7 linked regions of the Canis lupus familiaris genome follow. The protein of the gene in region 5 interacts with the protein of the main gene of each other region in a pairwise test. Links are inferred from orthologs where the notes say so. Each region holds a gene or a part of one and is shown on either strand. Other genes may lie near its edges. The genes, in order: SPG21, CSTF2, PEF1, BOLL, TFG, MAPK1IP1L and MAGED1.

Region 1 (4,182 bases), on a different chromosome or scaffold from region 5:
GCATCGGGAAATCCTAGAGTCCCTTTTGACCCAGGCCTCAGAGCTTTGGACTGGCTAGGCATCTTCAATTGAAAGGCTGCCCCTCTTTGCTCAGGCATCTGTGTTATGTCCTAATAGGAACCTGAAATTACAGTTCCCATTGCAGATTCTTATTGCCAAATGAGGAACTTCCACCCACTGGTTTAGAAGGATTCAAATTCTTGCTGTGTGTCCTGTCCTGTACCCCCAGGGCAAGTCTGGATTTCCTAACCAGATGTAGGATGTGTTCAAGACCATAGGACTTAACTCCTGGGCTGACTCCACGGGAGCAGGGGGCTTCTCTGGACTGGCCAAGAGCTGGGGACTCTAAACCCAATGAAACTCTTCCTTTTTTGGCCCCTCACATCTGCTATCTCAGGAGTACAGGGAACTCAGCAGTCTTAACAGTTACCTCTAACCTTGCGGGGTTACTAAACTAAACCCCAAGGAGATGGTAAATGTAGACATCCATTATTAAACTTGATTTACAACCTTGACATTGTAATAATGGTCTGTTCTCTCAAGGCTGGGATGGTAATTTTAGAAAAGTTCGTTAAAATCATAAGTTGTTCTAAAAAGTACCAACGATATCATTTAGCCAGTCTTATGCTGAAATCAGTGTGCACAGATGTAGTTATAGTTCATACTGGAATCAAGAAAATCATTCTTTGCATATCCACTTTCTCTTAACAAATAATAACATGTTAAAAAAAATCTAAGCCATTTGAATCTACTCAGCAGGTTCATAAAACACCTAAGCTACTTATAGACAGATAGCTTCTAGATTTGCCAAACTTGGAATAAATTATTCAGTTTTGGAATCGGCTGCAATGTACAAACCAACTATCATACATATACCAATCATACGCAGGCACTCACATGCACTGTCATCCACTTCTTCCCACAGCAATAAGTAGAAAGATGTTCCTTACCACAGTCCTCGGTATTATTCACAACCAACCCAGTATTATAACATTTTATAACTAATCTCACTTGATGGAGAGATTCCACCCAACTGTGACTACATTTTTGTAGGGGCAAGTGATTTTAACACTTGTGCTGGTTTGGCAGCACATCAAAGGTAAGATAGATACCAAATGTTGCATCTGACCAACTGACGTCTAAGTTAAAAAAAAAAAAAAAAAAAAGAGCTCATTCCTGCAAAGGGAAAACAGCTGTGAGTGGTATGAAAAGGAAGTTTGTTCTCCTAGCTCTCAATCACTAAAGGGGTATACTTTTCCAAGTCACAAGAAGAACATTTCTGTATACAGCAAAAAAAGGTTAACTGAGATTGTGACCAAACTGGTCAGTATTAAGTAAGAAAGAATGTGGATCATGAGCTCAAGGCTGATTTGATCTCTCACGATTCAATTCTTCACAAAAAACAAAAGCACCTGTTCATGCTGGTGGGAAAAGGGCTGCAGAAATTAGCCTTAATCTTGCCTACAGAAACCCCTCCTCAGGGAGTGTTCTGGACACCCAGTCCTCTCTCTGGCCCTTGAGGTACTGGACGATAAAATTGCCAATTATGAGTGTGCACCTAGAATTACATGCACTTATCCCTCAGGGTTTCAACAGAACCTGCCAGTTTACAATCAATGGAATTGTCTCTAAAAATGTTTAAGTCACATAACCAGCTTAACTAGTCAGAGGTTTTCGGAACCTTTATCTCAACCTGTAGTTGCTCTGCATACGGACAATCTGTGATTATTAATACCAGCCGGAAGTAAGTATTAAACCCTGAGAGTCTCCAGGAGATGCAATTGGCTTTTTAAATGCAAGTCCCCATAACTCACCACACCAGTAGACAGCTATCCTTTTTTCAGCTCTCTTCGGGGGAAGATTTATCCCTCTCTTCTTCAGGAACTTATTCCATTATCGTCTAAATCTCATGGGAGGAAAAGCTGCCTACTTGACATTTCTTCTGTGACACCTCATCTTGTGCTGTCTTGGGATAAAAGCTCTTGGAAATCTGCACACAGCTATTAAGTTACTCCTCAGTCTCTGGAGTCTTTCTGCTAACAGGAGCTGCAACATCGTACGAGGAGACAAAGAAGCAGCATAAGTGCAGAATTTAGAACTCCCCAGGAAAGCCAGAAGAGGAAAAGCAAAACACTCTAGCCCTGCTACTTTCCTCATTCCAACCCCAGCCCCCCTTCACAAGGCTCACACTTGGCGATGACAAAGACATTTGACACTTTCAGGCTGAGGTGCACTCTCTAACATAACTAGCTTCTTTCTGCTCAGAGTTCTTAAAAGTTGGAAAAACATATTCCTGGACTGCAGGAGTATATCCCCAGGACCGGATTACAGCAGTATGCTCTGGTCAAGCGCCCCCCCCCCCGCCCCCCACCGCCACCCCAATGATCCAAACAGACCCCACCCTCTCCCAGTCCCACCAAAAGGCAGGGTCACAGGTACACCGACCACCCCGTGAACTCCACCTCGACCTCAGACAGACAGACACACACGCACGATCACGTGCACAGTCACATGGACCAGCCCACTAAGGGCCACACGAACAAAGTCACACCCACGGAGGCAGCCGCGCACACTACACACACACCCACCTGCAAGCCTCAACACATCGCGCACCCACACCCGCTTCCCAGGGCCTCGCCCACCTCTCACCCGCCGTGGCCTCCTCCACATACGTCCCTGTCCCTCCTCCCCAAGGCGGCTCTCCCCTCCCGCAGGGGCGCGGGCCCGGGTCGCCGCCTGCAGCCGGAGCGCTCGGTCCTGGCAGGCGCCGCGGTCGGCGGGGGCGAGCCGGAGGGCGGGCCTCCGAGGGGCGGGGCGCGCGGCGGGCGAGCCTGGGTCCCGAACGGGCCGCGCAGTGGGCGCGAGCCTCGCGCTTCCGGGTTTGGGGGAGGCGGGGCCACGTCCTGAGGAAGGGGCGGGGCTGCGTGGCTCCGGCGGTCACCATGACGACGGGGCGGGATGGAGCCGGGAGAGAGACTCGGCGCTCTCTGCGCATCCTGCCGCTTGGGACCTGGCGGCCGCCCCCGGGGTGGCGGTGGGCGCTGGGGGGAGGTGCGAATTGCCCCTGGGTCAGCCCTAGGTCACCCATTCGCTGCGGGCACCGAGGGAGAGATTGTGCGAGCGGCAGACGGGGGCGCCTGACACCTGGGACCTGCCTCTGCCTTCAGTTCGCGCCCTCCTGGAGGAAGCAGGTGCGGACCGTTTTCTCTCCGCCACGTGAAGCTTTGGGGGACCACCCCCCTGGGTTACAAGTTTTGGTGAACAGCACTTTGTATACTGTCTTTGCTTGGCAAGATTTTTTTTTTTTTTTTTTTTTCCCATCTTGGCACAACGCCCTCCGTGGTCTTACCCTGTAAGGCTCTCACTGCTCTTTGCAGACTTGCGCTTTCTGGAGGATTTTTGAGAACAGCTCCCACCAGGCCTCCGGCTCCTGCATCACTTTCCCCTTAAAGGAATAGGGAATGTTAATATATTTATAAGCATTCTTCTTTATTTATTCATTCATCCATGAGAGACAGAGAGAGGCAGAAACACAGGCAGAGGGAGATGCAGGCTCCATGCAGGGAGCCTGACGCGGGACTCTATCCCAGGACCCCCGGGGTCACTCCCTGGGCTGAAGGCGGCGCTAAACCGCTGAGCCCCCCCACCCCCACCCCCCGGGCTGCCCTATAAGCATTCTTCTTAAGCAAAATTTGGTAGAGGTTACAGTAAAACATTGGCAGCTTGCTGAAAGAATGTATAATAAGGTTGGATAACATGTAAATCTTATTTGAAGTCTTTCTGTGATCCTGCAACAAGGTCCTGTTGAAAGTGGCTCTCCCTAATCTGTTTTAGGGAAAGCTTATACCCTGCTAAAGCTTTTGGCATAAACAGCAACTGTTTATGGGATTAAGGTCAGGGGAGAATCTCAGTAAATTGGAATCCTTAGTCATGATCTCTGCCTTCCTGCTTGTGAATGTTGGGTCCCAGTCTAGAACTCCAACAAATTGCAGATGCATCCCCCAAGAACACAATCACACGTTAGCCTCCTGTTCCCCAACTCGTCACTTCTTTCAGAATTCTCATAGGAAGTGGTCTTTTATAATGAGCACCAGGTAGGTGTATAGGGCATGTTTCTACAGAAGATTTTTAACCTGTGGCTTTCCCCTCAAAACTTTGGAATAGTTTAATGAATGGAATAAT
Region 2 (4,099 bases), on a different chromosome or scaffold from region 5:
GTTTCATCAACTCAAACATCTGCTCCGGTGGAAGACTGGCAACTGCTTTGCTAATGGACTCAGGGGCATCCTCAGGACTGATGGTCTCTCCATAAGGTGACTCAATGACAGGGGCACCAGTGCCAAGGCCTGATCGGGAAGAAAGTACAAAAAGTTAAGGAGGCAAAATTATGAGCTAAATCATTTTAAGTATCTACCTTCTAGGGCCACTTTCTTTCTAGGACCCATTGTAACTTTACATTTTCTGGAACTGAGAAATAAGTGAGTTGCAAGTCTCTTATTTCTGTAGAGGAAAGTGACAGAGTATATTTTCCACTCTTAGAAGAAAGCTAGGACTAGGATCACACAGATGGAAAATGTTAACCTAATTAGGGATGAGGCATATTAATTTCCTCTAACAAGTCACTCCAGAAACGAAACAATAAAGATGCTAATTTTTAGAAACAAAATAATAGAAAAAGATGCTAATTTCAAAATGGAATTCCTGGTCTGTTACCACATGAAAAGACCCAGAATGCCTTAGTAATCCCACCAATTACATATCTGGCAAATAGTTACAGCAGTGGTAAACTAATGACATAGTTAGTGCAACTAATGGTTTGATGAACCTGAATTCATCTTCAACTGTAAATTAACTCCTTCACACCTGAACAACTCCTAAAGTCAACTTTATTTCTCAAAGATATACAATTCCCTAATGCAGGTGCCTCAAGTGGGTCAAGAAGCTATGTGCCTAACCATTTCAGCAGGTGCTAAAAACATCATAAATGGAAAAATCTTGTTACATCTTTACTAACTCACGTTGCATATAAATCAGGTTTATACTCACTCTTCAACTCTTCTTTGTTCTTTTCACTGGCAGCATTGTCCACTCGAAGGGCTCTCCCACTGAATTCACGTCCATTCAAGTTTCGCATGGCACTAAGTGCCGTCTCCTGGTCTTGGTATTCACAGAAGCCATAACCCTTTGGCTTTCCTGTCTCCCTATCATACACCAACCTGGAAGGGTAGAACCAAGTATCAGGCACAAATGCTACACACATACAGGGTTCCTGCTAACACGGCCATGTTCTAATTTGGTTCACTGTAAGACAAATAACTTTATTACTCTGATTGCTTTGCTGAAATATTTTTAAAACATTTTTAAATGAAAAAAAGTATCATTTAGTAAAAGTAATTGTGAATTATATGGTATGTGAATTATATCTGAATAAGGCTGTTACAAACAGAAGGATGCATGTGAAAAGTCACCAGTAAAAACCTTGCCATTATTGCTAAGGGCCAAATATGTGATTTTATTTTATTTTAAAGATTTTATTTATTTATTCATGAGAGACACAGAGACAGAGGCAGAGACACAGGCAGAGAGAGAAGCAGGTTCCATGCAGGGAGCCTGATGTGGGACTCGATCCGGGGACTCCAGGATCACGCTCTGGGCCAAAGGCAGACGCTTAACCGCTGAGCCACCCAGGTGTCCCTAAATTTGTGATTTTAAAGAAAACCCCAAGTAGTCAAAGGAGAATCTCACCTGAAACTAACAACAGGTCCAACCTCAGAAAAGATGTCCTTTAATTGTTCTTCAGTAGCCTCATATGGAATGTTCCCCACTATGGAAGAAAATAGACATTAAAATTCTGAGTTTGTGATCTATTTCCCTTGTAAGTAAACAGTGTCCACCTACTGAAAATGTAACAAATATCTCAAAATAGTGTTCCTACAATTGCAGTTCCATGGTATTTCGGCATGATTTCAATCTTGTCTGCTGACTTTAATTACAAAACATATAAACTGCTAAGACTAAAGGTATAGGCACTTCTAAATATCAGTTCTCAGGCTCATCTGACAAGTGTGATGATTTTCCTTAACTTCAGTGAAAATAGTTTGGCATTGGTACTTACCTGAAGATCTGCAAGTCTTATCAATAACTACTAAAAATACCAAAGCAATTGGAATTTTAAAAACTGGCTCATTATGTCCATATTTCTACACGCACGCACACAAAGAATAACCATGAATGTAGTGAAGGATGTTTAAAAATTATTCTAAACTATTTTATCATGTCCTTTCCAAAAGAAGCTTTAAAAATCACTACAGTTACTTAAACAAAATATTATGATCCTCTTTAAAATTTCTTCGACAAGGTCTTAATCATTCGTTCATTCATTCATTTACAATCCACCTTAAGACGTAAGGTGGCCACAATCAATATCGAACTAAAATGTCACAGTAAACAACAGAGGATAAAAGTCCTTATAAAAGGGCGGGAAGTGGACACAAGGAGCGTATAGACACTCAGCATATAATCTGTATTTTAGGGTAGAGGGTGAAAAGTAGTAAGGGACAGTTGCCATGCGCCCTCGATTCCAGACAATAAGTGAAGCTCATGAAAGAAGAAATGCATAGAAGCTGAATGCTAGTTTAACTTCCTCTGCCACATCATGGAAAGGCAGTGAGACCTCAGGGGGAGGCATCACTTTGCCCGCGAGTCCACTAGGTTGGCCGCCCCACAGGATAGGCAGGTAGAGCTGCAAGCTCGACCCATCACCAGCTTCTCCGGCGATTCATGAGGTGCAGGGGGCATTCCTCGCCGCACCCTGTCTCTTTCTGTCCCTCCCCGATGCTTGGCTTCACGAATTCCTCTCACCGAACACCGAACGCAGAGAACGATCCACCGCAGGGTCTCTCACAGTCAAACCCGCCATCGCTCTCTTCCGGAAGCTTCCGGTGCGCCGGAGCACACTTGTGTACGGCGCATGAGCTCTGCGCTAAACACGCTTCTGTACGGCGCGTAAGCCGGAAGCACCTGGGCGGGCCGAACAGCATGGCCCCTCCTCTGGCGTCATTCGGTCTGCAGCCGGCGCGCTTTCCGTCCCCAAGAGCATTAACCCCTCCGAGCTGAGTTGCGACCAGAGGATAACTCTTTCCCGAACTAGGTTTGAGCGGCCCCAGGCTAGCTTCCAGGATTTTAATCTGTAAAATTCCTTATTTTTCCTTTTTTTCTGAGACCAACACGAGGAATCATCGACCACAATAAAGATGGCGGCTGCCGCTTTACCATGGTAACAGGGAAGTCATTTGCTAATAACCTTAGCGCTTTGGTTTTAGTTCCGCCCTTTCAGGGAAAAGTGCTTGGTCCCACCCCCGCAGCTTGCCTGTTATTTTGTAAAGGCTGGAGTGTACCAAGCAACGTGAGGAAACAGTAGTGGCGGTCTAGGGAATGAGAATGAGGATCGCTCAGATTCAAGGCGTCACCGTAGCTGAGGAGATGGGGAGGTAAAGGGAGAACAGATCCCTGTCTGCCCCTGGGTTCCATGTGCTCTGTGGTGGTGAGGGAGCAAGGTGGCGGAAGGCGGAGGCAAAGGGGTATCTAGAAAAGGTCTTTGACTGCTGGTACTCAACAAGCAGCTAAAGCATGATTTGAACTCAAGTTGCTTTGGCTCAGAGACTGAATGCTTAGCTGCTGTAGCTATTGCCTCCCAGTATAACTGAGGGAATATGAATGACTCGACATATTTTATTACCATTTTTGGAAAACGATTTAGACCGTATGACTTGGGGATTGTGGGACAGTGGCTCATAACAATGAACTTCGCTAGTACAGGTTGAGGCATCTATAACCAGGGGCTTGTTGTGCTGCCATCAATCATTTGTAGAGAATGGACTGTTGGTTCTCTCACTTCATCAACCAACCCTACTTTACTGGTTAAAAAAGGAGGAGTGTGCAAGGGATGTTTCCTAAGCTTTTGCTTTTGTATATTTGGGTTTCATTTACAGGCCGTGTGCTAGTGACTCCTGCCTTAGTGCCTGTTGTCCCTCAGAGTCGTTTTCCTTCACTGCAACACTCTTGGAGTGACACATACCTTTAGCCTATAGATTATAACAAAATGAAGACAGAAGATAGGGTGTCTGATGTTGTTGTAGGTGTTATGACTGAACTTCAGTTACACAAGAGTATAGGTGTAGTATGAAGAGGTAAGGGGAAAAACTAGGAAAGGTGCATTTCTACACAAATGGGACTATATTTAGAATAAGTGTTATTTGGGAGCTTGTGCAGAAGAGAAAGGATGCCTGGAGGAGAGTCAAAGAATTTGGGAAGCCA
Region 3 (3,934 bases), on a different chromosome or scaffold from region 5:
TTGGAATACCTTGGACCAGGAGTTGGACAGGTGGACAGGGTATGATGGGGGGGATAAAAGCATTTCTTCTATTCTAGACACTGTTCTCTCCATGCTCTTTTTCAGAATTTCACTCTGAGCAGAAGCCCAGGCCATGTGGCCTAACAGTGATCCCAGCAGCAAGAGCCACCACCAGGCACTGGCACACACTTGGTATCAGCACAGTGCCAAGCTCACTGCAAGCTTTATCACAGTTTGTCTTCATTTCAGCCCTATGAAGTATTATTCCTCCCTTCTTAAAGGTGAGCAAACTGATGGTCAGAGCCCTTAGATGGTTTGTCCAAGGGCATATAACTATTAAGTGCTAGAATTAGGATTCTAGCCCAGTTGTATCCAACCTGGAAGCTTAGGCTCTTAATTTCCATGTTACTGCCTCTAAGATGCTTACAAAATACCTCCAGAAACTTATTAAGATGTAGATTCCTGGGCCCTTCCTGGGTATGGAATAGGTCTGAGGTAGAACCCAAAAGTGTGCCTTTTTATTTTATTTTATTTTATTTTATTTGAGAGAAAGAGAAAGAGAGAGAGAGAGAGAAAGGAGAGAGCATAGCAGGCAGGTACAGAGGGGAAGGGAGAGAGAATCCCAAGCAATCTCTGTGCAGAGTGCAGAACCTGATGCAGGGCTCAATCTCACAACCCTGAGATCATGACCTGAGCTGACACCAGGTCAGATGCTCAGTTGACTGTGTCACCCAGGTATCCCCAAAGGTGTGCTTTCTAAACAAACTTCCTGGTGATTCTGACACAGACCATCCACTAAAAAACAACGCACCATAGCAATGTTTTCCCAAACTGTGTTCCCCCAAGATAGTAGCTGTACCAAAAAATGACCAGAAATTTTTTAAAAAGGGGAGTTGGGAGTGGGAGGTAGTTCCACAGTTAAATAAGTTTAAAAATACTGCATATTCTATCCCTCAATGGCAGATTTACAAAAGCATATTGACAAATTAAGAATTCTGAGATGCCCCGTGTTGAACAAACTTATTCACGGAGTATTTCATGGAGTATCTCCCAAACTTATTTAACCACAGAATCCTCCTCTATTAGCAATACCTATTAACATTTCGTAAGACCCAACCAATGGAATGGAGCTTTGGAAGCCCTGCTAGATTATACTTCCTCTTAACATCAGCTTTTTTTTTCTACCTCTGCTAAAAATGCAACGAAAAGGAGCAAGCCACTTAACCTCTTTGGGCTCCTTCCTCAGCAATAACCTTGGGACAATAATCTCTGCTAGCATGCTTACAGGACCTTCATCACTGAGATTAAAAAGGTTCAAATACTGTGTACAAAAGCCATACAGGGCTGTACTCCCTCACCTCTCTTTTGGCATGGGACTATACTCAGTTGATCGCTAATATCCCATATAATTTTATTTTCCAATTTTCCCTGCATGGGTTTTTAAATATTTAATTTATTTATTCATGAGAGACACAGAGAGGCAGAGACCCAGGCAGAGAGAGAAGCAGGCCCCATGCAGGGAGCCCGACCTGGGACTCAATCCCAGGTCTCCAGGATCACACCCTGAGCCAAAGGCAGACAGACGTTCAACCACTGAGCCACCCAGGCATCCCCCCTGCATGGGTTTTACCTCCTAAATTAGTATGATCTTGGGCAACTCAGGAGCCTCTCTGGGCTTCAGTTTCTTAAAATAAAGGGACTATTTTGAGGACCCTCCTGGCACTGACCTAGGAGTCTTAAAAAAAAAAAAAAATCCAAATACTAAAATACTGTTAGACTCTTAGAAGTACCAAATGCTTTACAAGCATGACAGCTTGCTATTCACGACAGCTCTCTCAAGTAGACCCTATTTATTGGGCCCTATTTTATGGACGGGGAAACAGGCTCACAGAAGCAAAATACCTTGCTTAACGGCTCCTAACTATTTAAGAGGTGGGGCCAAGGGGTGAACCTGCTGACTCCAGGCTGAACTTAACCACTCTACCGATCCGTCATCCAACAGAGGCTTCTGGTCACAGAATCCCCTGGCTGTGGTGCTCTTGGCTGGATCGAAATGGGCTGGGGAGGGGGTAAGAGGCCTGTGCCGACAGCTTCCGGGTTCCGCTGCCCGCCCGGGGGCCTCGGGTAAGTTCTGCGTCTTCTCTGGGTTTCACTGTTCCCATGCATGAAACGGAGGGGTCAGCCTAAACGAGCAAGGTCACTCGTGGGACCCGCAGAAGCGGGTCAATCAAGATTCTCCCGATTCTTCGCACGCAGTACGTCAGGGGTGTATTTTTATCCGACGCCCCGAACGTGGCAGGCGCAACCAGTTGTCTCAGTTCTGCTGGCGCGGGTGAGCCCGTCGGCAGCCCCCCGGGAGCCCCGAGGAGGTAATCAGAGCCTCGCCTGATTACGTGGGGTCCAAGGTCCCCAAATCCTCACGGGCGCGACGTCAGAGGGGGCGCGACGCAACCTCCCAGACCCGCAGTCCTGCGTGACGTGAGACAGGCGCGACCGAGCAGCCTTTCGCCTTCCCTGGCGCGCGAGACCTCGCCGACGCCGGCCTCCGCGTAGGAAGGGCGCGGAGAACGCCCGGACAAGGCGAGGCGGCGCCTGGGCCTGGACTCGGCGAAGCCCCTACCTGGAATCGCCCGCCCCCCCGCACACTCACCTGCCCGTACGGGTAGCTGGCCATGGCGACTCGACGTCACACGTCGGCGAGGGGCGGGGCTTCCCGGCCCTAAGCCTGCCCCGCCCGGGCCGGGGGTGGGCCCGCTTGTGATTGGGTGGCCGCCGCCGTCAATCCTGGACGCCGGGACCGACGGAAGTGACGTTCTAGGGCGGTGGTCGGGTGCCTGGGGAGAGGCCGGGGTGCTAAGGAAGGCGTGAGGGTTTCCGGAAACCCTGCCAGCCTGCGGGCGGGGCCGTTCTTCCCTTTCCTGCCCTGGCGTGGGCTCCGGGGCTGCTCAGGCCCGGGTATTCAGCGAGAAACTGGAGTCGGGTGTTGCGGCGGTGGCCATGTTTTAACCTGGCAAATGGGGCGCCTGGTAGCGGGTGCCTTGCAGTCGTCACGGGAAGTTTCCGCCCGCGCCCGCCGGAGGAGGGCCCGGGCGGTTGCCGTGACGACCGGAACAGACAGAGGCCTCCTGGACAGGGGGGAGGCAACGGCGGGAGTACCTCGCTCTAATGTCAGGACACCACGTGCCAGTTAGTAGCTTTGGAGTGAGACCCGTGGTCTTTGGGGAGGAAAACCCCCGGCCACCAGAGTGGGAGGAAAATTAGATCATCTGGGCTCTCTTCGTAAAACAGCGATACTGTGGTCCGGAGAGGCAGCGACTTGCCCTGGTTCACAGTGGGCGGGGGCAGAGGTGGCCTAGAGCTGCTGTCAGTGGTTACCGGGTTCTCAGCGGGGAGGTCTGGACTGTTCCCCCAAGTCAGTCCAGTTCTGTCACTGAGTGACCACGTAGAGTCATGTACTTGCTTGCTCGTGGTTCAGGCTCTGCACTTGTTTGCATGCTTACTTGACTAAGGGGTTAAGCTCTTACACGTGGGCATAGGTATGTGGTTTTTCTTGTCCTATCCCATGTACCTAGGAGAGTGCCTGGCACGGTTTTGTTTTGTTTTGTTTTTTTTAATCGATAAGTGAATAAGGTGTTACGAGGTGTTATCCATTCCAGACCATCTATCTATCTATCTAGCCAGGCACTTTCCAAAATCACTGTGCTCATCATGCTACCTGCTGGCTGGACAGAGGCTACAACGACTCCATCTGCACCTACAAAAAAGGCCCAACGTCTTCATTCTGGCCCTCGAGACCTTTCACATATGACCCAACTTCACCTTGGCATTTGGTATTGTTACTGTGCTATATTCCAGCCAGCCTCATGTAAGGGTTCTCTTTGTTATTTTCCTCAAAACGTATTCCCCTCTTTTATCCCAGAAAATTCACCCAGTC
Region 4 (3,500 bases), on a different chromosome or scaffold from region 5:
TATTCTCAAGTCTTGTTTTTTTCAGATATATGTTATGAGTCTACCATCTTGCCATTGTACAAAGGCTTATATGTTAATATATATTTATTAAAATCTAAATTAGGCCCCCAACTTAGAATTGTGAACATATATGTACTGAGCTCAGTTCTTTGGTATACAGATTTATACCTATGAGTTACAGGTATATACATTTCTTTTTTTACGAAGTCAGTTCAAATTGACAAGTGCATTTAAAACTTTGACTTTAGAGCTAGATAATGGTGAACTTGAATGTCAGAATGTATTAATTTGTCAGTGCCCTTGACCAAAGACTACCAGGAGCATACCTGTAGTTAAGTAAAGTTGAGTCTATTGAATTGTTGCCACAAGGAAGAGCTATATACCCTGGAGCCTCTCCATAAGAGGGTGTTAGAAAAGAACTCACTATGGGATTTAGGCTTGTATTAAGCTCTTCTTAGCATTTAGGGAAGAAGGGCTTTACTCTGAAATTCATATCGTCAGAAAGTGGGAGTAATTCTAGGTTTGGGTCTGTTAATTCTTATTTAGAAGGTAAGAAAAATAGATTGAGGCCAAACCTGTGATTGATAAAGAAGGAGTAGTAACATATATCAGCCAGGATAGAGGGGTGTTTAGTCATGCTTGTGGTTTGGACAATGCAGGGTTCAGCCATGACCATGGAGTGATCTTGTTTTTATTGTGATCCATCACAATCACAGAGTAACTTTGCCTCGAGTCTGTTAACAAGAGAACACCACAATCTTACTGTGAGTTCCAGGCCAACTCCTAACAACACCAGAACCAAGCCAGTTCCCAGCTGTCTGAGTCTGCTTTTCTCTTTCTCAAACTTCTTTTTTGAGTTTAATGTCCTTAGTATTTATACTATTTAAATAATATATTTAATAAACAATTAACATAAGTATATTTAAATAATATATTTAAGATTTTCTCTGTAGTGGAATAGATTCTATATTTCCCATATTTTTGTTGCTCCAAAGGGTTATTAGTTCTAACTATAATTTTCATATTAGAATAAAATTAAAGTCTAAAATATCACATTTTGCCTAAGTGACTCATCTTTTTGAGAGATACATGTTTTCAGCCTGCATCAAAACTTATACCCAATGCTAAAAATTTAAAAGAATTTTATTTTACAGCAAACATCAAATCAGACGCAAACAGATTCATTATCTCCATCCCCTAATCCTGTGTCACCTGTGCCTTTGAATAACCCAACAAGTGCCCCAAGATATGGAACAGTGATCCCTAATCGCATCTTTGTAGGAGGAATTGACTTTAAGGTACCTATTTATGCATGCAACGTAGTGTATTTTTTGCAATAGAAGTTATTTTATTTCTCAGAAATACTTTGTACAACTACAAAAATATTTACTAATTGCATAATTATTAGTACGTTTCACATTGTCTTACTATAAAAAATCTTTTCAATAACAATGTAGGTTAAATAGAACATATGTAATTGTCCAGTTTCACATACAAGGAAATTGAGGCTCATTGACATATCTGTAGGCTCCTAGCTTATTAGTGACAGTGAAGACTAGAACTTCAGTATTCTGACTCATAGTTTCATATTCTTCACCATACCACATTAATTATACTTTATTACATAGTATTCCAATAGATCAAATAATCATGTTTATAATTTTCAAAAAAGACTCAATATTAAAAAAAACACAAAACTTAGTCCTATGAAATCCTGTTTGTTTATCCCAGCTCTACTCAGTGAGGTACTGAGCTCTACTCTACTCTACTCAGGTTCCTACTGAGTGATCTCCTTAACTTCCATCTTTCACAGATCGCTTTCTGCCACCTAATTTAGAATTTGGTCACCAAAAAAAGGCCTGTAACCTTATCAGAATAAAGCATCTTAACATTAATGTATTTTAATTATGTAATCAGCCATTTCATTCTTTCAGAGAGGCTTAGTTTGTTGTTGTTAGATGTTTTGCAGCACCATTTCAGAGGTGGAAGTAAACACTTAGAGGAAAGGCCTGCATGGCTATTTTAAGTAGAATATCCTTACTTCCAAGTGGATCTATAGGATTTCCAAGCTTCCATTTTATGTACTGGAAATTACAGGGATAGTTATCTTTTTTAATTTAAAAATATCCTTTTGCCATTAGGGTACAAAATTTATTACTATTTCCCTGTCTGTAATCAGTCTTCCAAGATTAGGGTGAAATTACTTTTTTTCTGTTCAAGAGAAATGTTACACTCACTGTATTTGTCAGAATAATGGTTCTTAAGTGTGTGATTGGTTCACTAAAAATAAAAATGATTTCTAATGAAATGTTTATTTTAAAAAAGATTTTGTTTCTATGGAAAATATTCTAGTATTCTTGTTCAGAATTTATATTACAAACAGTATATTTTTAAAATAAATCCTCATTAAATCAAAACATTTGTATGGCTAGGTTATTCTAGGTTACTGAATTCTATCAGCTACATTATGAACTTTGGAGGCCATTGTTAAAAATGCAGTGACAGATTTCAGGTATTTGCTAGGGTTCCCTCCCTAATACTTAGATGTTTTCCAAAACCATAAACAAATGACAACAAGGAAATAGTTTACTGTAGTAACAAGCTGTGTCAAACTTTTTAAAACTTTAAAACTTTTTAGAAGCTTACTGTACATCCTTCTTATAATACTTAATCATCTTGCCTTTCTGTCTCCTTACTTTTCAACTAAGAAGTAGAGCTACAAAACTGAACTAGTGATTCTTCTATCAGAGAATAGTTTGAATTAATTTGTTTTTATTTTATTTTTTAAGATTTTATTTATTCATGAGAGGCACAGAGAGAGAGAGAGGCAGAAACATAGGCAGAGAGAAAAACAGGCTCCATGCAGGGAACCTGATGCAGGACTTGATCCTGGGACTCCAGGATCACGCCCTGAGCCGAAGGCAGGCGCTCAACCGCTGAGCCACTCAGGTGTCCCGAATTAATTTGTTTTTAAATATTTAATAGAAATTCTTATTCTGGCATTGATTCCATTTTAAGTTTATTGAAATAAGAGGTATTTAGTTATTCTGAGATTAACTTAGTATTTGTCAACAGTCAGTTTAGCAGCTTTACATTACCAACTAATAGCTGATGATGTATGTAAGTAGTAAGGGAACAGTGGAACTCAGGAGATTAACTTAGTATTTGTCATCAGTCAGTTTAGCAGCTTTACATTACCAACTAATAGCCGATGATGTAAGTAGTAAGGGAACAGTGGAACTCAGGAGGCATAGCCTCCTGCCATTGGGCATGTCTTTTTCTGAGTATATAAAGAAATTTTTTTTCTAAAGACATTTAAAGTCCCCCATGAAGTAATTATACATGTGCTAGAAAATGAAATAGCAATGAATTTAGTGTGAATACTCTAGGAAAAGATGATATGAGTCTATTGAGAGACTATTTCAATTAAAGCCATCTTTGTAGATATCTTGTACATTATAGTTTAATAATGACTCAGATTTTTATTTTGAATATCATAA
Region 5 (3,500 bases):
AAAAACTCCAATGATTATTAAATATCTCTGACTTTTTATAGTTAGTATACTGCTTTTGGAAGTAACTACTTTGAAGAACAGTAGTGATTTGGATTCAAGAATTCTGCTTTTTTTTTTTTTTTTTAATAGGTTACTTTTTAGGTCAGTTATTTTAGGTGGCTATTTTTTTAGGTCAAAAATAGGCAAGGGGGATAACAGACCTGTCAGTCACGTTGTAGCTTTTAACATATATGTATAGAATAAGGTGTTTATTATATTACTTCAAAAATATAAAAAGAACAGTGTGGAGAAAAAAAGTGAGCTTTTGAAGGTACATAATTTCTATTAAAATATATATTAAAATTTTAGTTTATTGTAGTTTCTCCTAATAAAACTTTTTTTAACCAACATTATCATAGGCCATAGATGTGCATCAACAAAGACAGATTAATATTTGTTTTTTCAAAAAGTAAACTATTAGTAATAATAGTAATAGTAATAATAGTAATAATTATTAGTAATAATTCTTTCCTTAAAAAGAGTTCTCATTTAAATGACATCATTTGGTATCTTGTTTTTGTTTCTCTTTTTAAAGAAATTACATTTGTTTTTTCTTATTGCTGTTATTGTGTTGATATATTAAGAACATTGCCTAATTTTAAGCAAATTAATGTTTTTATTCCAGTTAATGGCCAGCCAAGACCCCTTGAATCCAGTCAGGTGAAATATCTCCGTCGAGAGCTGATAGAACTGAGAAATAAAGTGAACCGCTTATTGGATAGCTTGGAACCACCTGGAGAGCCAGGACCTTCCGGCAGTATTCCTGAAAATGGTAGACTGTGAATCCATTTTATTCTGCTTTATTCTTCCTTTGTCTTTCTAAAAAAATTTATTGTTATTATTTTAATTCCAATATAGTTTACAGTATTATATTAATTTTGGGTGTATAATATAGTGATTCAGCAATTCCATACATCAGCCAGTGCTCATTATGACAAGCAAATCCCCATCATCTGTTTAGCTCACCTCCCCTCTGGTAACCGTCAGTTCTCTGTAGTTAAGAATCTTTTTAGTTTCTTTTTTTTTTCCCCTTTGTTCATATTTCTTTCTTAAATTCCACATATGAGTGAAATGATATTTGTCTTTGACTTTTTGCCTAGCATTATACTCTATATATTCGTATCATTTTGCAGATTTTTTAAAAAACTGTTTATGTAGGAGCACGTTGGCATCCTTGTTACCCTTTCTTATTTTTGCCTCTGTCCTTTAGGATTACCAGGAGGTTTTATTTTACTAATTCCTGGATCTCATTGTAAATCTACTAAAGAGCAGGGCCAAAGAATCCCATTTTTAAAGTGCTCTTGGGTTAATTCCTTACAACTAGTCTTAAACCGGTGGGTTTATGAATAGGTCAGTTTTCAAACCCCTTTGACTCTTTTGAACCCTTTCCATTGTAATAATTACAGTGTAATTACAATAATTAGGAATTGCAATAATTTCATGTGTTTTATGTGGCATATGAAGTAATTTTAAATAAATAACTTGAGATTTGTATATTCAAATGGAAAATTGTAGACTTTACTTAAACATAGTTTTTAATCATATGTAAAGAAAAGCTTATTTTTTCCACTTTACAGATGATATGTAGTGTGTTTATATTAAGATAAAGTAAGATTTATTGACAAATTTGGAACTGACAAAGTTTTTGGACCAAATATATTTAAAAATGTAGACTGAAGTTTGTGTATTAGGGCTTGAAAATAGATTTTGAAAAACTGCTTTCCTCAACTTTTAGTATTCTTAGATGTTGCACTTAAAAAACAAACTTGTGGGGTTTTTTTTACAATTTTTGTTTGCATATAAATTATATGCTTAAAGTTGCATTATGAAATAGTAAGTTTTATAAAGTCTGGATGACTGTATATAACGGACTTAATAGAAGATGATTTTGTGGGAAAGTGGCATTGTATAATCCTTGCAGCCATTAGATTCTCCTCCTAGATTATATTTTTTGGCTCTATTTAAGTTTTGGAGTTGTTTTCTTTCTTTAGTTTAAATACAGTGTAAATAAAACTGCATTTTCTGTAATTTTCCTCTTCCTCTCTTCCTCCAGCTATGTGGAATTGTATTAATGGTAGATTCTTTTTTTTTTTTAATTTTTATTTATTTATGATAGTCACACAGAGAGAGAGAGAGAGAGAGAGAGAGAGAGAGAGGCAGAGACGCAGGCAGAGGGAGAAGCAGGCTCCATGCACTGGGAGCCCGACATGGGACTCGATCCCGGGTCTCCAGGATCGCGCCCTGGGCCAAAGGCAGGCGCCAAACCGCTGCGCCACCCAGGGATCCCTAATGGTAGATTCTTAATAAATACTTGGTGATTAGTTATTTCTAGTTCCACTTCTGTATTTCATTTTTTTTTTTTAAAGATTTTATTTATTCATGAGAGATACACAGAGAGAGGCAGACACAGGCAGAGGGAGAAGCAGGCTCCATGTAGGGAGCCTGATGTGGAACTCGATCCTGGGACTCTGGGATCATGCCCTGGGCCCAAGGCAGACGCTCAACCACTGAGCCACGCAGGTGTCCCTACTTCTGTATTTCAAAGCATATTAGAGATTTGCTGAAATACTATAATAAGATCTTCCTGACCTTTTCTTGATGAAACTTTTAATATTTCACGTCAAGGCAAATGGCCTTTTCTGAACCCTCTCTCTCCAGACAAAAAGCTCCAACTTTAGGTCCAGAATCTGAAGAAAACTTTTGGCCATTTTGCCAGAGTAATTCATAGATGGCTGACACAACAACATTTGCTTATAATTTCAGAGGGTTTGAGCATCTGTAGAATATTATGTAACTTAGATGAAAATTCAACAAGTGTAGCTGGTACTGTGTAAAAATTACCTATTGTAGCTTATATTCTGCTGTAAGGAATAGAATTATAAACTTTTACGTTTGGTGAAACAACCTTTCTGTTCTTATGTATTTCTTGCCACTGTTTTTATTACCTCACTTTATTAACCCTTTATTTTCATTTTTCATGTTTTATTATTCTCACCGATGTTAATGTAAAAGATGTTAAAACTGGTTTCTTAAAAAAAAAAAAAACTGGTTTCTTCTCTTCATCTTGGAAATTACATCACGCATTGTTCCTTTGTGTGGCCTCCCTTCTTGTCAGAGTGTCCTATTCCAGTTATCTAATGAGTAGAATAATGCATGCTGTGCTTTGGCTTTGTAGATGGTTGTAATTCATTTTTTGTTTCCTTTCTTGTCCTTAACAAGATCACTAGCTCTTGACCACCTGCCTTCTATGAAATTTAAAGCTTCTAAACTTTTAGAATATATCCTGACTTAATAATCTTCTCAAGAAAATAACATAAAATAACTCCCCCAAAATGCTACACCAGAAACAGTCTAGACCACGAAATGGTGTTGTCAGCTGTGAGTACTCCTTAGAACAATGTGGTTTGGCCTCACCCCAAAACATGTGGCTACCTACGTTCGTCAGTGGTCTGCCTCCGCAG
Region 6 (4,149 bases), on a different chromosome or scaffold from region 5:
AGGTTGAGCATCGTCATCCTGGGGTCTGGAGTCCTGGGATCAAGTTCTACATTGGGAATCCCAGCTCAGCGGGGAGCCTGCTTCTCCCTCTGCCTTTTTCTCTGCCTGTGTCTCATGAATAAATTTTTAAAAAATCAGAATTAAAACAACAACCTAATGAAAAAAGGTCAAGATTTTATTTTTTAGGATTTTATTCATGAGAGACACAGAAAGAGGCAGAGATATAGGCAGAAGGAGAAGCAGCAGGCTCCATACAGGAACCCGATGGGGGACTCGATCCCGGAATTCCAGGATCACCGCTCAGGCCGAAGGCAGACGCTCAACTGCTGAGCCACCCAGGCGTCCCAGGTCAAGATTTTAAATATAGTTTTACTGACGTCTGCTGACTCAGGATTCCTTATAGCTCCATAAGGCATTACAGATTCACTGCCTCCTGACGGCAGGGTAAGTTGTTCACACTAATGTCATTTTCCATAGACCATTTTCCCTGTCCAAAAATAGGTCTTCCCCAGGCTTGGGTATTTGCAGTTTCTCTATTGCCTCTTTTCCAGTAGGAGAAGTGTGGGTTCTGGTGGAGCATACCCAGGAATAAGTCTTCCTTTAAGACGTTTCTAATAAAATGCCCCTGCCCAGTGACCCACTAAGGGGTTACCCAAAGAAGCAAAATGTACTGATACCGCATATTTCTAGTGTAGTTTTACATATAAAAATCTATGTACATACTGTATGTATATACATTTTGCACACTATATAATTACGGCAGATTCCTTGACAGCCGGGGGAATGTGTCAATCATCCTACAGACCTGACCCAAAGTAGGTAAAGGTTCTTTCAAAGATGAACATGTGGGGCCCCCTTCCCCGTATGGCTCCTGTAGCGCTCCCCAATTTCGGCCCGAGGGCCGGGATTCACTGGTTGGCCGCATTCACAGCCAGCCGGCATCCAAGCCCGGCTGTAAAAATCTCTAAGCGTAGGAAATCCAGAAGCAGTCCTCAAACCAGTCCAGGAAACAAGCTAGCAGTTTCCGCCGAGGTGCCCAGAACGTCACTGGCTACAGGCATTTCCTCCGAGGGCTCAGAATTCCGGAAAACCGGGGAGCGGTCCTCCCTCCCGCGGGAGGAAAACAGCCGCCCCGGGGCGAGCGGGAGGAGCAGCCGCCCGGCCCCGCCCCGCCCCGCCCCGCCCCGCCGGGCAGGCCGCAGTGCAGCGCGAAGCCTGCGGGGGGCGCCCGCGGCCGCACCCGGCCCGGGGAGGAGGGGGGAGAGCGCGCGGGGGCGGCGCGCTCGGCGCTTCCTGTTCCGGCGCCAGGAGGAGCCGCGCGCTGTTAGTGCTGCCGCTGCCGCCGCCGCCGCCTCCGCCTCCGCCGCCACCGCCGCCGCTGCTGCCGCCGCCACCGCCGCCGCCGCGCTCGTCAGTCAGTCCGCGTTCGGTTCTTCAGCACCCGATTCCCCCGGACCCATCGCCGCTTCTAGACTTTGCTGCGGGCTCGGATCTGGCCGGGTGAGGCTGCCTCGGCGCTAGTGGGTATCGTGGAGGGGGGCAGGGGAGCACGCCCAAGCGGGAGACGGGCGCGGTAACAGAGGAACCTCGAGTCGCCTCTTCAGGGGCCGGGACTAAACGTCGGCCCCCGCCATCTTCCCTCAGGCTGCGAGGTGCCCCCCGATCGCCCCCCGGGAGGAGGCGTCGGAGGCGGCTGACGTCGCGCCGGACGGGTTTCTCCGCACTTGACGTCAGGCCGGGTTTGGGGGCGGGGCGGCGAGAGGGCCCGGCCCCTCCCCCACCCTCCCCACCCCCACCCCTTTCCGGGCGGCGCGACCCGCTCGGCGGCCGGTTCGCTCCGGTTGATCCCGGACTCCCTTTGTTCGTTGGGCCCTGAAGGCTTCCCGGCTCGCGCCCCCTCGGTCCCCTCCCCCATTCATTAATTTCTAATAAAACGGGAGCGAGGGGCCTGAACAGCCTTGGAGGAATCTGGCACTTGTTTAATCAGATTGTCCGCCGTGTGACAACGTTCCGGTCGTTAGTTGCCGAAGGAGTTGCTACACAGATCCTATTCGACGAATACACATGACAGAAGCCGTGAGTTCGGCGACACTCTCTTTCTTAGGATTTGGGGGCTTGTGTTACGCATGGAAGCTTATAAATAGCTGAGCCGTTTCCTCTTCGAAAACCAAAAGCAGTGCTTTTACTGGTTAAAAATTTCTAATGTTGAGGCATCAGACCGTATTCCCCTGACGGGAAAAAAAAAAAAAAATTACTGCTGAAGAAATACACACTCTTACACACCTGATGGTTGTGAAGGCATGTTCTGTAAAGGAGCCTCCTTTTACAGGCCAAGGTAGCCTTCGGAGAGCTTTCAGAAGTTCTTTGTTCGGCTGTATTCACTGGGCAGCAACAGGAATTTTTCTGGTACTGGCGTCTCTGAACCTCCTATTTAAAACTAGTTTGTCTCAGCGACTTGAGTTGGGTTGTGTGTGTGAGAATGTTCTTTTCTTCTCTCCAGAAGGAACAGAGAGAGACCCATTCCTTAACTGCAAGGCTCGGGGCCGGTATGTTTTGGAATTCAGCAATCTTCGAATTGTGTCTTTAGATTTTAGAAAGAGTAAGATGCGTAGGCCAGAGGTGTCACCCTCACAAGGTCCCAGCAGCATCCCTGAGACTACGGTAATAATGGTGCAGGGATAGGCGTGACTTCATGGAAACTGTAAATATCCTCAGGTCACGTTTTGCCACCCAACTAAGTTTTATGCCAAATTCTGGAATTTTCCTTTTCTTTTCAGAAGTTTCCAAATCGAGAACTGCAGATAAAGGTTTGCAGGCCTGTGACCGCGATTGTAAAAGTTAACGTTTGTTGAGTTTTCCTTGAGTGCCAGAGAGAGACCAGGAGATTTATTTTGTCAGTCTGGGGGCAGGTCTGCAAGGTGGATACTACTCCTGTGTACTTAAACCTCTGGAGTTTGAAGAATTCAACCTGTCCATCACCTGCCAGTGAAGAGCTAGGGTTTTATCTACGCAGCCATAACTTTCAGGGTCATTCTTTTAATCTCTGCTGCCATGCCCATGTAGGAAGAAAGACAAGGGAATATATATCTGTTGCCCATCCACTATTTTTTAGAGCACTGTTATTATAGACACTTAATTTATGAATACCATTTAGTCTTTCGCATCACTAGCCCTTTTATAGTTGAAGAAACTGAGTCACTGGGGTGAGCTGAATCTGATTGAGACATTCAAACCTCAGTTTAAAGGCTCTCTGCTAAAACTTCTATCCCTCCCCTCTCTGTATTCCAACCAATTCGAACTGCTTATATTTCCCATAGCGTATTCTTGCCTGCTTTAGCTTTTGCACGGTCTGCTCTTTCCCGGGGCCTGTCCCATCATCCCCTACTGCCAGCTCTTCATTGTTCTCCCAGACTGCAAAGGAACCTCTTCTCAGGGTTCCTCCCCTTATTCTCCTTTCCTTGATTCCTTTAGGTGCCCTTTAGGTACTCAACTTGGTGCCCTGGGCTTACCCAAAGTAAGGTAGTTACTATTTAAAGGATAGTTCAGGGGGGTTCCTGGGTGGCTCAGCGGTTTACCACCTGCCTTTGGCTCAGGGTGTGATCCTGGAGTCCCAGAATGGAGTCCTGCATCGGGCTCCCTGCCTGGGGCCTGCTTCTCCCTCTGCCTGTGTCTCTGCCTCTCTCTCTCTCCCTGTCATGAATGAATGAATAAATAAATAAATAAATAAATAAATAAATAAACTTTAAAAAAAAAAATAAAGGGTAGTTCACCAGATTGTGAATTCCTTAAATGTCTATTCTGTGTAGTACTCTTCATTTCCCCAAAGCCTAACAAGACAGTGCCTGGTGTGTATATTCCAGGCATAAGTATAAAAAAAATGATACTTTAAAAAATTATGTCTTTTGGGACGCCTGGGTGGCTCAGCAGTTGAGCATCTGCCTTCAGCTCCAGTTGTGATCTCAGAGTCCTGGGATCAAGTCCCCACATCGGGCTCCCCGCGGGGAGCCTGCTTCTCCCTCTACTTGTGTCTGCCTCTCTCTGTGTCTCTCATGTATGAATAAATCTTTTAAAAAAATAAAAATTATGTCTTTCAAAAGCTTAAGAATATTCAAAAACTTTACTAAGTCCTCAGTTCCTTGAGTTGTCCAA
Region 7 (4,263 bases), on a different chromosome or scaffold from region 5:
GAGTTAAAATGTTGAAATGAACTATAAAAATACCATCAAAAGTAAGAACCTGGTGCTGGCCCCTGTCATTTCCCTGATCACATTTTGGTTATTTATTCATCTGACAAACATCAATAATCACCTATTTTATGCCAGGCTCTTATGTGTTTAAAATGTCACGTTTAGCTCCTAAGCTGTGGGTTCCTACTGCAATGCCCATGAGTGTAGCGCAGTATTTGGGACATGGTAGATGCTCACTGTATAGTAGTAGATTGACTGAAAATAACCACAAAAAAGGAAAACAGGTACAGATTTTGGACCCAGTGTTTTCTGGAGGTAGTGGCAATAGGTGATTCAATATTGAACTTTTAACCAGAGTAAGGATTATTCTTATTATTGAAAATTTTGGGAATCCCTGGGTGGCTCAGCGGTTTAGCACCTGCCTTCAGCCCAGGGCATGACCCTGGGGACCCCGGATCGAGTCCCACGTCGAGCTTCCTGCATGGAGCTTGCTTCTCCCTCTGCCTGTGTCTCTCATAATAAATAAATAAATAAATAAAATCTTAAAAAAAGAAAATTTTGTCAGTTGTCATTTTCTTGGGGGGGGTATATACATATACAAGAATGCTTTCTAGATGAATTTACCTTTATTTGTTAATTTGAGTATAGCATGTAACTCTTTGGATACTATTCCGAGACAAAAATGATTCAGATCTAAGATTTTTTAAAATCTCGAAATCGAAGTATGCCACTTATAAAAATGAACTTTTTACTCAACATGGTATGTTAGAAAATGGTAAACCAGTATGGCAAATACATAACTGTTGGCATCCAAGAGTCAAGGCACTAAGGGTTAGGAAGGTATTTTAAGGGCTAAATCAATAAGGCGAGGTGACAAATTTGGATATGTGGGGTTTGGCTGAAATAATGCAGTTCTTCGGATGACTAGAGTTAAAATTTCTTTTTTTTAAAGATTTTAGGGCAGCCCCGGTGGCTCGGCGGTTTAGCGCCGCCTTCAGCCCGGGGTGTGATCCTGGAGACCCGGGATCGAGTCCCACATGGGGCTCCCTGCGTGGAGCCTGCTTCTCCCTCTGCCTGTGTCTCTGCCTGCCTCTCTCTGTGTGTCTCTCATGAATAAATAAATAAAATCTTTAAAAAAATAAAGATTTTATTTATCCATAAGAGACACAGAAAGAGAGAGGCAGAGGGAGAGGGAGCCCGATATGGGACTCAATCCCGGGACTCCAGGATCACGCCCCGGGCCAAAGGCAGGCTCTAAACCGCTGAACTACCCAGGCGACCCTAGAGCTTTAATTAGTAAAAAGTTACTGTCTCTGAGCCGGTTCACATCACTAACCAGCTTCTGATACGCTGAAAGCCAGAGCAATAAAGTATTGTAAAAGCTTGCTAGAGAGGCACAGGAAGTTGCCTGTAAAGGGGGCGTGGCGTCGGAAAATAAGTTTCCGCCAAACGAAGGAAAATAGCGCTTCCGGTTACGCCATCGTTGTGTCGGGGCTTTCTTCACTGAGGTGAGTGGAAAGAAAGAGGCTCATAATTTTCACAAGTGAGTCTCCAAACCCTCCCGGGAAGCTTTCCTCCTTGCTTCAACATGGGGTGGAAAGATTTCATCCCCAGAGCACATTGTGTGAAGGATGTTTCTGACGCTTATGGTTCCGGTCGCCTGTCTACCTATTCTGAAGATGGCAGGCTGTCCTCCCTCTCTATTTTTGTCCTTTTATCCCTGGTCATTCTTCACCTCTCCTCGTTACCCCAGATCCTCTTCCTGATATTTCTGAGCCTGGGCCATTTCCTCTACCACAGATTTTTTTCCTACCTCTTAACTTCCACCTTCTTCCCCGGCCCCTTTTAGCCTCAAAACTTTTGCAACCCCCTTCTCCCGTTAGGAATCTACGCCCTTCCTTTTTCTTCAGCTCCAGTACTTTACTTTCCACCCCCCCCGCCCCTCCTGCCCGCCTCTTTCAGAGTCCTTTGAATTAAAAACTTGCCAAAACCAGGTGTGACTTCAGTTTCAAGGTCAACTCTTTTATTTCCTTAAAATAAGCAGTGGCAGAAATTTTAGTCCTAAGACACAGGAGCTTGTTCAGATTATTATATTATTGCTGAGTTTATTTTTACTCTTAACCAAAATGATACATCAGAAACTGCACTGATTTTAACCCTCCTGACATAAAAAAAAAAAAAAATTGGCACAGAACTCAATCCCCACTTTTTAGAGGAGCAGTCATAGGGGTTTTGCCTGTAAAACTTGTGTCAATTCTTGATGGTCGAAGCTTTCCCATCTCCTTTAGAACTTGTCATAGGACAGAAATGGTTGACGGATATGACATCCAATCACAAATTTATTTTTTCATATGAGTTATGCCTATTCAAATCTTTTTCTGGTCTTTGGTGGCAACATTGAACAGCAAGCTGACAGATTTTCAAAGTTTTCCTGGGAACTTCGCAAGTATTCTCTATTTCGTGCAAGGTGAAATATATTTTTCTGTTCCATTCATCATGTTTACTTTGTCTCGTGAGAACGTTAGTTAATCACAATTTATTATTCAATTTTTTACCCAAGAGAGGGGATATGATCATTAAACTTAAAATGAGTGTCAGGATTATTCAGGCTCTAAAGAGGAATTTATTCACCAAGAATTCCCTTGAACAAGCAATTTATTCCTTTCCTCCTGTAACTAGTGTGTTATACTTGCCAAAATAAGACGTAAATCTTTTTCTGGGCTAGGTGTAATTTTCAGTTCGTTTAGAAAAAAGTCAGGCTCGACTTCATGATACTAAAACACTTAAAAACTTTTTTGAAGGGTATTGCTGATGTCTCTGTATTCTCTAGTCAAGTTATAGTAACACAGCATTTAAATATCCCACGGCTTCAACCCAGTGTGCAACCATCATTTATTCATCTAAGAATTTTTTTATTGAATAACTTTATGTGTCAGACAGTGTTAAGCACTGAGGATACAACAGTGGAAAATAAAAAGCTTATTAAACTTTAGTTGAGAGACAGTAAATGAATATATAGTAAATATGAGTAAGTTGTAATGGAGAGGAGATGTAGTATTTTAAATAGGGATGGTGAGGAAGGCTTCCCTGGTAAGGCAACATTTGAGCAGAAACCTAAAGGAAGTGAGGGCACGAACTATGTACAGCTATTAATGGGAAAAACAGGATATATCTTATGTTGGTGTCTCTGTATTTGTTCACTCTGCTTCCACACCCCCCTTGCCCATTGTCACTTTTTTGCATGGCTTTAATGTAGCACTCTACATACTGAAATAACCTAATCCAGGCACATACATTTCCCATATTCTTTTGTTTTTTAATCTTGGCGAGCTTCTTGCTATCAATTAGGTATGTTGTTAGTTACCAGCCCTCTAGGAAGACATGTCTTTACATACATTTAGGTATGTTGTTAGTTACATACCTAATACGTCTAGAAGACGTATCTTTACATCCATCCTCACGTCTTCTTCAATCTTTTATCCGCAGTGCATTGTGTGCTATCCTACAGCATATTTGCTTACCTCTCTCACTGCTCTTATCACTGTGTGCTCATGATATGTTGCCCATAAATGTTTGGTATGTTAAATTGGAGGAATTGAGTACTTGTCTGTCTGTACAGGCAATCTTTTAAATATAGTTGGCCCTGGGATGCCTGGGTGACTAGGTAGTTGAGCATCTGCCTTTGGCTCAGGTCGTGATCCTTGGGTTTTGGGATTGAGTCCCGCATCAGGCTTCCTACAGGGAGCCTGCTTAACCTATGTGGTGGTATTGTTTGATCTTTCATTTGTATTCACAATTTATTTGTAATTGATTTCTTTGTATGTTTTCAGTATGAGTTATTGGTATGCGTAAAGGCCCCCCTTTTGTACATTTTTTGAAATGGACATTCAAGGGTGCCTGAGTGGCTCAGTCGGTTAAATGTCTGCCTTTGGCTCATTTCATGATCCCAGGGTCCTGGGATCAAGCCCTGTATTCGACTCTTTATTCAGCGGAGAGTCTACTTCTGCCTCTCCCTCTGTGCCCCCACTTCACCTCATGCTCCCACTCTTTAAAAAAGCAGATATTTAATCAACCTAATATCACTATTGAAAAGATAGCTATTTCCCTCCTATAGAGTCATGTTTTTCATAAATCAAATGACTAAGTTATTTATGTGGGTTTATTTCTTCTGAATTTTGTTCTGTTTGGTTAATTTTTCTATCCTTATATAAGTACCACTGTTATAATGGATGTCCTTTTATAATATATATCATATGTATATAG

What was found.
Region 1: the proteins of TFG (region 5) and SPG21 interact in binary tests that used the Homo sapiens proteins (3 or more experiments, as listed by UniProt). The two-hybrid records come from large-scale screens. The link is inferred for Canis lupus familiaris from reciprocal best matches to the Homo sapiens genes TFG and SPG21.
Region 2: the proteins of TFG (region 5) and CSTF2 interact in binary tests that used the Homo sapiens proteins (3 or more experiments, as listed by UniProt). The two-hybrid records come from large-scale screens. The link is inferred for Canis lupus familiaris from reciprocal best matches to the Homo sapiens genes TFG and CSTF2.
Region 3: the proteins of TFG (region 5) and PEF1 interact in binary tests that used the Homo sapiens proteins (3 or more experiments, as listed by UniProt). The two-hybrid records come from large-scale screens. The link is inferred for Canis lupus familiaris from reciprocal best matches to the Homo sapiens genes TFG and PEF1.
Region 4: the proteins of TFG (region 5) and BOLL interact in binary tests that used the Homo sapiens proteins (3 or more experiments, as listed by UniProt). The two-hybrid records come from large-scale screens. The link is inferred for Canis lupus familiaris from reciprocal best matches to the Homo sapiens genes TFG and BOLL.
Region 6: the proteins of TFG (region 5) and MAPK1IP1L interact in binary tests that used the Homo sapiens proteins (3 or more experiments, as listed by UniProt). The two-hybrid records come from large-scale screens. The link is inferred for Canis lupus familiaris from reciprocal best matches to the Homo sapiens genes TFG and MAPK1IP1L.
Region 7: the proteins of TFG (region 5) and MAGED1 interact in binary tests that used the Homo sapiens proteins (3 or more experiments, as listed by UniProt). The two-hybrid records come from large-scale screens. The link is inferred for Canis lupus familiaris from reciprocal best matches to the Homo sapiens genes TFG and MAGED1.

The regions. Positions count from the first base shown.
Region 1 is NC_049251.1:29,798,180-29,802,361, forward strand, and holds the start of SPG21 (maspardin), read right to left. Parts: upstream 2,801-4,182; 5' UTR 2,650-2,800; exon of another isoform or gene 2,643-2,649; intron 2,516-2,642; exon of another isoform or gene 2,418-2,515; intron 2,047-2,417; 5' UTR 1,815-2,046; intron 1-1,814. UniProt on the Homo sapiens protein: May play a role as a negative regulatory factor in CD4-dependent T-cell activation.
Region 2 is NC_049260.1:75,160,768-75,164,866, reverse strand, and holds the start of CSTF2 (cleavage stimulation factor subunit 2), read right to left. Parts: upstream 2,801-4,099; 5' UTR 2,703-2,800; coding exon 2,645-2,702; intron 2,622-2,644; exon of another isoform or gene 2,457-2,621; intron 1,608-2,456; coding exon 1,529-1,607; intron 1,000-1,528; coding exon 830-999; intron 130-829; coding exon 1-129. UniProt on the Homo sapiens protein: One of the multiple factors required for polyadenylation and 3'-end cleavage of mammalian pre-mRNAs. This subunit is directly involved in the binding to pre-mRNAs.
Region 3 is NC_049223.1:68,861,261-68,865,194, reverse strand, and holds the start of PEF1 (peflin), read right to left. Parts: upstream 2,801-3,934; 5' UTR 2,675-2,800; coding exon 2,651-2,674; intron 2,125-2,650; exon of another isoform or gene 1,834-2,124; intron 1-1,833. UniProt on the Homo sapiens protein: Calcium-binding protein that acts as an adapter that bridges unrelated proteins or stabilizes weak protein-protein complexes in response to calcium.
Region 4 is NC_049258.1:7,090,215-7,093,714, reverse strand, and holds part of BOLL (protein boule-like), read left to right. Parts: intron 1-1,154; coding exon 1,155-1,298; intron 1,299-3,500. UniProt on the Homo sapiens protein: Probable RNA-binding protein, which may be required during spermatogenesis. May act by binding to the 3'-UTR of mRNAs and regulating their translation.
Region 5 is NC_049254.1:7,655,820-7,659,319, forward strand, and holds part of TFG (protein TFG), read left to right. Parts: intron 1-664; coding exon 665-811; intron 812-3,500. UniProt on the Homo sapiens protein: Plays a role in the normal dynamic function of the endoplasmic reticulum (ER) and its associated microtubules. Required for secretory cargo traffic from the endoplasmic reticulum to the Golgi apparatus.
Region 6 is NC_049229.1:31,205,113-31,209,261, forward strand, and holds the start of MAPK1IP1L (MAPK-interacting and spindle-stabilizing protein-like), read left to right. Parts: upstream 1-1,349; 5' UTR 1,350-1,500; intron 1,501-1,854; exon of another isoform or gene 1,855-2,064; coding exon of another isoform or gene 2,065-2,076; intron 2,077-2,382; exon of another isoform or gene 2,383-2,406; intron 2,407-2,639; exon of another isoform or gene 2,640-2,661; intron 2,662-2,677; exon of another isoform or gene 2,678-2,701; intron 2,702-4,149.
Region 7 is NC_049260.1:44,749,442-44,753,704, forward strand, and holds the start of MAGED1 (melanoma-associated antigen D1), read left to right. Parts: upstream 1-1,463; 5' UTR 1,464-1,508; intron 1,509-4,263. UniProt on the Homo sapiens protein: Involved in the apoptotic response after nerve growth factor (NGF) binding in neuronal cells. Inhibits cell cycle progression, and facilitates NGFR-mediated apoptosis. May act as a regulator of the function of DLX family members.